Linked DNA regions of Sus scrofa. The main gene of each other region encodes a partner of the protein of the gene in region 2 in a complex. Links are inferred from orthologs where the notes say so. Each region holds a gene or a part of one and is shown on either strand. Other genes may lie near its edges.

Evidence for each region.
Region 1: the proteins of ACAD9 (region 2) and ECSIT are in contact, whole or in part, in a cryo-EM structure (PDB 8PHE), measured with the Homo sapiens proteins. The link is inferred for Sus scrofa from reciprocal best matches to the Homo sapiens genes ACAD9 and ECSIT. Residues at the interface, in NP_054768.2 of Homo sapiens: Leu180, Thr181, Asp188, Ala189, Ala190, Ser191, Ile192, Lys228, Lys239, Asp240, Lys241, Ile242, Phe293, Ala296, Met297, Leu300, Ile431, Met434, Tyr435, Leu438, Thr439, Leu441, Gln442, Gly445, Thr449, Leu516, Gly520, Lys521, Ile523, Met524; in NP_057665.2 of Homo sapiens: Pro321, Glu322, Glu323, Trp324, Asn325, Leu326, Tyr327, Tyr328, Pro329, Met330, Leu332, Asp333, Leu334.

What each region holds. Positions count from the first base shown.
Region 1 is NC_010444.4:70,167,953-70,172,277, reverse strand, and holds the start of ECSIT (evolutionarily conserved signaling intermediate in Toll pathway, mitochondrial), read left to right. Parts: upstream 1-1,515; 5' UTR 1,516-1,665; intron 1,666-4,325.
Region 2 is NC_010455.5:71,419,876-71,422,907, forward strand, and holds the end of ACAD9 (acyl-CoA dehydrogenase family member 9, mitochondrial), read left to right. Parts: intron 1-41; coding exon 42-168; intron 169-352; coding exon 353-430; intron 431-841; coding exon 842-970; intron 971-1,010; exon of another isoform or gene 1,011-1,166; coding exon of another isoform or gene 1,167-1,201; intron 1,202-1,602; coding exon 1,603-1,675; intron 1,676-2,094; coding exon 2,095-2,195; 3' UTR 2,196-2,517; downstream 2,518-3,032. UniProt on the Homo sapiens protein: As part of the MCIA complex, primarily participates in the assembly of the mitochondrial complex I and therefore plays a role in oxidative phosphorylation.

The DNA.
Region 1 (4,325 bases), on a different chromosome or scaffold from region 2:
TAGCTACACACAGAGAGCTAGAAACTCAGCAACAGCCCCCACTATGGTTGGGTGGACAGTCAAACACAGAGAGAGGCATAGGAACACACCACTGTCACGCACAGACATAGCCCCACAGTCAGAATGGACCACTGTTGAGGCACAGTCATAAACACACATTGTCATATACTGTCACTGACATACCGATGGTGGAGGGGCACCCATACGAGTCACACCCATACAAGTCAGGGACACACAGTGTTACAAACACATACCAACAGCTGGACACAACTACATAATGGAATCCCACATCAGAGACCACCCCAGATTGGCATTGTCAGTCAGACCTTTATACCACCGCTGAGACACAGAGTTTCACACACACACACACACACACACACACACACACACACACACACGAAGTCAGAGATTCATATAGGTACAGGCACACACTGGTAGACACAATCACACACAGATATGTAAAGGGCTATAACAGTCACATGTGTCTTGATGGTGGGACAATCATTTATCCACAAGTTGGGGACACATGGGGTGTCATAAACACAGTCATCTACCCACTAGTGTTCAGACATGCAATCACACACACATTATTGCATGGACCATCAAAGAAATGTTGACACACCTAATCCCAGCCCCTCAGAATTCTGGGACAAATTCCACATCCTTCCACACACACAGAATGACAGACACCCAGAAGCTGATACAATCACAAGTGCACATGCAGCTACTGACACGTGGACACACAAAGTCCCACATGTACCAATGTCCACACTGACACACGTGGGGACTATCCCTGACCTACCCTCATACAGCCACACACAAACGTACACACCTTTGTTTGAGTTCTGAGAAACTACGAAAACCCATGAAAACATCCACACTCTATCGCAATCTCACACACACATACGCACACACACACAATTGTGAACATGCACACTACCCTACAGGATCCTCAACCGTCCAAGCGAGGGAGGTGGAATAAGGTATTAGTGTGAATCCCCCATAATAACAGTAGCAAACGCTTACATGGCTGTTCTGCATAGATTAACTCCATTATTCCATAAAACAAAGCCCAAAAAACAAACAAAACAAAAAACAAAAAACCTCTACGAGGTTATTATAATTGGCCATTTCAGAGGTGAGACTATTGAGGCACAGACAGGTTAAGCACTAGTCCAGACTCCAGGAGCTAGATTAGCAGTCCTTCTTCTTCCCTAACGTCAGCGCCGAATCAGCGCCTGGCACACAGTAAGCCTTCAAATGTTCGTTGAAAAAATGAGGGAATCCACATTACTTAGACCTTTAATATTTCATTCCCGTATTTCAGGTGGGCACTAGGACTGTCAGTTGAGTTCACCCGCTGCCTGAGTCCAATGTCCCAGCTCCGAAACCGCACAGTCTCTCCTTCCCGAACCAAGCTCGCTCATTCGTGGGGAGTCCAGCTTGCCTCGTTAGGGGAGGGGCCTGACTCACCACGAGGCGGGGCCAAGGTCGCTGCGCCTTTTTATTGGTGCTCCTTTCTTCGAGGCGGGACCTCTCTTAAACTGGCGCTGTTGATTTGCCGGCTCCCTGGTGGCCCGTGACCCAGAAGATCTTCGTGCAACATGGCGGCGCCCAGGGGCAAGACATAACCGGCCCGGATTCCGCGGCCGTCCGCGTGAATAGGTAGGTCCCACGCGGGGAGGCAAGCGTGAATTTATGAGCCCTGGGGCAGCCCCTTTGGGGCCAGCAGCGCGGAAGGGCGGCCCCAGGAGGATCCCGGCTGCCGGGGCCAGGGCACCGTGACCTTTTCGGGTACACGGCGGGACGTTCCGAGGAGAGCTGCCTTCTGTGTACCCGCCTCCCCACATCCCTAATCTCTAATCTTGGAGATGAGACAGCTGAGGCTCAGAAAAGTTAAAGCCGTCTCCCAAGGTCACGCCACAGGTTGGCAGCTAGGCTAAAGTTCGCTTCTTTCTCCCAAGGGCGTCAAAATCCTAGCAGCCAGCCTCAGAGCTGCTGTAGGTACACCCTGCCTAGGGGTTCAGATTTATAGAAGCTTTGTAGAAATTTAGCTCTTCTTATTCATTTGATATTTGTTGGGTACCTACTATATAGCAGGCACTATCCCAGGTGCAAAAGAGACAGCAAAAAGGAAGACAGACAAAAATCTCTGGTCTCAGGAGAGCTAGACGTTGAACAAATCAGAAGTAAATGAAACGTGACTTCAGATGCTAATTGCTAAAAATTCATTCATCAGGATGATGGGGCTTTAGATTGGGAATGGGGCAGTAGTCAGGGAAGGCGTCTCATTTGAATATAGACCTGAATAACCAGGCACAGCAATGAACTGACCTGGGGAAGGAATTTCCAAACAGGGAAAAGCAACCTCAGAGGCTCTGAGACTAGATAAAGTCAGCTTGTTTAAGAAACAGCGTAATGGGAGAGTTCCCTGTTGGTCTAGTGGTTAGGATTCAGAGCTTTCACCTCTGCAGCCTGAGTTCAACCCCTGATCTGGGAACTGAGATCCCACAACAAGCTGCTGCACACTGCAGCCAAAAATAAATAAAAATTAAATAAAATTTAAAAGAGAAATAAATGGTGTAGCTGGAGCTTCCAGTAATAACAGTTGAGTTTGGAGGGATGGAGCCTGTCTGATTTTTATCTCATGTGATGTGCAATTAGTGACTTTAGCCGGAGAACACTTTAGTTTACATTTTAAAAAAGCTCCCTATGACCACTTTAGGGAGAACTGGCTGGAGGCAGGTAAGGAAAGGAGTGTGGGTAGATGAAGAGAGGTCATGGACTGGAGTTGTGGCTTGCAGATGGAGAGAAATGGGATTGTTTGAGGTGGATCTGGATGTAGCAACATGAGCAGCTGATGAATTGGTTGGGGAAGTGAGGAACACAGTGGACTCAGAACCAGGTTTGTGGTTGATTGACTAGGAATGATGGTGTAATGACATCAGGCAAGGATGAGATGGAACAAGTTTAAGCAGGGGCATAAGTTAGGCGCAAAATAAGTTTGAGATGGCTAGGTATACACCAAAGTGGCAGTTAGGTATGGAAGCTGGAGCTCAGGGATGGTGATAACCATTGGGAACTATCAGCACATAGATCTTCATTTCTCAGACTTTAACACACATAAGAGAAATGTGGACTTTTGTTTAAATGCAGATTCTGCTTCAATAGGTCAGGGTTAGGGCTGAGATTCTGCATCCAAATAATGATGCCAATACAGCTGCTCCCTGAATAGCAAAGGTTTAGATTAAGGTCTAATCTCAGCTGGATGTTAGAGTCATTGGAGTGCTTTAAATGCTGATGCCTGGGCCCTACCTCTAGATATTCTGATACAATATATCTGGGGTATGGCCTGGGCATGTGATTCTTTAAAGCTTCCTAGATAATGCTGAAATGAACAAGGTTTGAGAACTATGAGAGCTGCCTACAGAAATACAGAGAGAACACCTCTCTTGGAAGCTGAATGATACCTTACGGTAGCAGACAGACAAGTTCAAAGTGTAGGACTCTTTGCAGCATTATTACTCAAAAGACAGCATTAAGCATCACATAGAAGTTTGTTAGATTAAAAAAGTCTTTGGCTCCACCCTAAACATTCTGAATCAGAACCTGCATTTTAACAATATTCTCAGCAATTCATCTGCACATTCAAGTCTGCAAGCACTGCACACTTTAGAGAAGGAAGCCAGTCTTTCTGATTGGCTGAGAAACAGGCCTGGGGGCTAGGAAGAAAATCAAGAGTGCCAAGGTGGGAGGAGGGCATCACCCATTCCAGATACTTCTGAGAAACTGAGCAAAATGAGGCCAGAGAAATAACCACTGGCTTTGTTAAATGTAGAACGTGCAAGGGGTCTTTACAGGAGTGGTGTCAGTGGAGTGGCTGGGACAAGAGCCAAACTGGAGACAGTGAAGAAGTAACATGTAGACCCCTCTTGGGAAAAGCTGTACTATAAATAGAGCAGAGATGTGGAACAGAGGTGGAAGGAGATGCTAGAGAAAGTTTAAAGGGTGATATGAGTGATCCAAGTATGTACCAACTTATTTTATGAGGCCAGCATTACCCTGATACCAAACCAAACAGACACAATAAGAAACAAAAACTACATCCCAATATCCCTTACCAATATGGTTGCAAAAATCCTCAACAGAATACCAGCAAACCAATTTTGGCAACATAAAAAAAGATTATATACATCATGACCAAATGGAATTTATCCCAGAAATGCAATATTGGTTTAATATTTGAAAACCAATTAATGTAATGTACTTTTCTTTTTTGGTCTCTTTGGTCTTTTTAGGGCCACACCCGCAGCATATGGAGGTTC
Region 2 (3,032 bases):
GCACTGATGCCTCAGCTAACAGGGCCGTGGGCTCCCTGCAGGGAGCTGAAACGGGGCAATGTGACCACCGTCATGGAGACCGTTGGCCGGAGGCTTCGGGACTCCCTTGGCCGAACCGTAGACCTGGGGCTGACAGGGAAGCTTGGAGCTGTGCACCCCAGTGTTGCGGTGAGTGGGCCCAGCAGGTGGACATCCCCATCGGTGTCCCCTTCCCAGAAGAGGTGCAACGGGGGTTTTGGGGAGGGCTGCTTGATGCCCCGTCTCCGCCCTGTCCGGGTGGAGAAGGGCCCAGCCTGGTAGCAGGGCCTGAGACTGCGGGAGGACCATGCTGAGCAGAGCCCCCCGCCCACAGGACGGTGCCCACAAGCTCGAGGAGAACGTGTACTACTTCGGCCGCACAGTGGAGATGCTGCTGCTTCGCTTTGGCAAGGTACCTGGGGTCAGGGAGATGCGCCAACATCCAAGTGGGACCAAGCCTAGGAGGGAATCTTGGTCTCCATGGAGGGCTGGGAGACCCCTGCTGGGAGGGCATCTTCTGGGTGCAGAGAGGCTTCTTGGAGCAGGACAGGCAGCCCTACCTGGGCCTGAATCTCAGGACCTGTTCTGTGAGGTTCTTGCTGCTGAAGTGACTTTAAGCCCTGGCTTCTAGTCTCAGCCAGGTGTCCGGGACATGGACTTGTCTTGACTTCTGCCCAGATTTGCACAGAGCCGCCGGGAGCCAGCCTCCCACAGCCCGAGGGGAGGGCAGTGCATGAAGCTCAGAGACGGCAGAGGGGCCCAGGGCAGGGCCTGTGTGAGGAGGTCCCAGGTGGCGAGTCTCCACCCTGCCCTCTGTTCCCAGACCATCGTGGAGGAGCAGTTGATCTTGAAGCGAGTGGCCAACGTCCTCATCAACCTGTATGGCATGACGGCTGTGCTGTCGCGGGCCACCCGCTCCATCCGCATGGGGCTCCGGAACCATGACCACGAGGTGAGAGCCCCCCGCTTCTCCCCACAGGCAGCTTCCCTGCTGGCTTGTCATGCTGCATTTTAATCAGATGTGGTGGTTGTGGGGGGAGGGGGCTGCTGTGCGAGTCCAGGGTCATGTCCCCAGAGGGATGAAGGCGAACCTGGAGAGTTGTGGCTGTGTCCAGTGCTCTCAGCTCTGATGGGCAGGTCCTTGCTGCTCAGGACATGAGGCCACTGCCTTTCATCTTCCTGCCTGAGAGAAGAGGGAGGGTGAGTGGCGGGGCCCCACATCCAGCTCCCTCACCCCATCTCTTGGTGGGCAGTGCAGCCTGAGCACCTGCTGTGTACACGCGTGTCTTGACGCACTTTGGTCTGAGAAGCCCGGAGCTGTGGGAATTATGATTCCCTCCCACAGAGGGGGAAATGGAGGCTCAGGGAGGTTGAGTGACCTGCCCTGGAGACAGAGTCCCTTTGGCTCAGGCTGGAATCAGAATCTAAGGCCATGGCCTGACTCTGGCCAAGCTGCCTACTTTGGCTGACAGACTGTCTTCAGAGGCTCGAAAGTCAAGCGGGGGCGGGGGCGGGTGGGGGCGTGTCCTAAGGCCCAGAGATCTGAGTCCTCAGCAGCCACTTCTATGCCTTGGGTCCTGCCAGGTTCTGTTGACCAACATCTTCTGCACGGAAGCCTATCACCAGAATCTCTTCACCCTGTCCCAGCTGGACAAATGTAAGTGGGTGGCTTGGGGACAGGGGAACGGGGCTCCCAGGGCACTGTGCCCACAGATGTCTGCACCAAGTGAGGCTGCCAGCAGGAGCGCACACAGCAGGTGCGGCAGGTGTTGGCTTTGGCCTCCTCACTCCTTGCGCCCCATCTGACCCACCCAGGGAGGAGCACAGGGTTCTGTGCCCTCTGGGCTCTGGCGGCCCCTCTGTGCTGAAGGGCTGTTAGCTCCTGCTATGGTGGCTGCGGCGGAAGGGGAGTTGACAGGCTTGAATTGCTGAGGGGGGCTTTTTATCCCCTCTTCTCCCTGAGGCCCAGAATCACTTCCTGGGGAGGAGCTGTCACCTCTGCACTCCCTCCTAGCAGTGGCCTTATGTGGTTAGAAAAACTGCACAACATAGAAAGGCCACTCTCTTCTCTCCCAGGTTCTCCAGAAAATCTAGACGAACAGATCAAGAAAGTGTCCCAGCAGGTCCTAGAGAAGCGAGCCTACATCTGTGCCCACCCTCTGGACCGGATGTCCTGAAGTGGAAGGACAGTGTCCCCTGCTGCCACCTGCCCCTGGACACGCTCACACTTTCCAGAAGGCAGAGAACTTGGGTCCTTAAAGGCTGACCATTTCTCCTCCAGCCCCTGACCTGGGGGCACTGCTGCCTGACATCCCACCAGACTCCACGTGGCTTCTGGGAGAGTGAGAACTGCTGAGATTCCCTAGCTCAAGGGACACCCTTTGCCACCCCACTCAGGGTGGGACCAGGCTTGTACCACCCCCTCTGTGGCCTGGGCTGGCAGGGACATGCCTCAGGCAGGGTAGCCGCTTCAAGAAGCAGTTCATACATCACCTGGAATCCGTATGTGTCATTCTTTTAAACTAGAAGCAAAATGCACTTAAAATATGTTCAACGAGAACTCTTTAACAAAGAGAGTGTAAAACGGCACCAATTGTTAGTTTAGCATTTGCCATACTAGGCATGTGTTTCCTCACAACCAGCCTTTAGCACGTGGCAAGTTGACCCTGAGAGATCCACACTCTGGTGACAGCTGTAGGGTCAGGAGCCCTTGCCATTGGTCCTTTCCAGGTAAAGCTGCTGGTCTGTGGCAAGAGATGCTGCTCCCAGCTGGGCTTTCCTCTTGTTCGTCATGGGGACAAGAGACGTCTTTCAGAAGCACGAGCAGGACTCTGTGTGTCCAGGTCCCAGCATGCTCACCTGGCAGGCTTCAGGCTTTGGTCTGGTTCCTGGGTGGTCTGTGCTCCAGAAAGCCCATCACAGCCAGCAGCCAGGCTCTCCCCCTCCTCCAGGTAGGATTCTGCCTTGGCTGGGGTGATGGGAACCGGTTCGAGAGCTGTGCTGGTTCTGGGGGT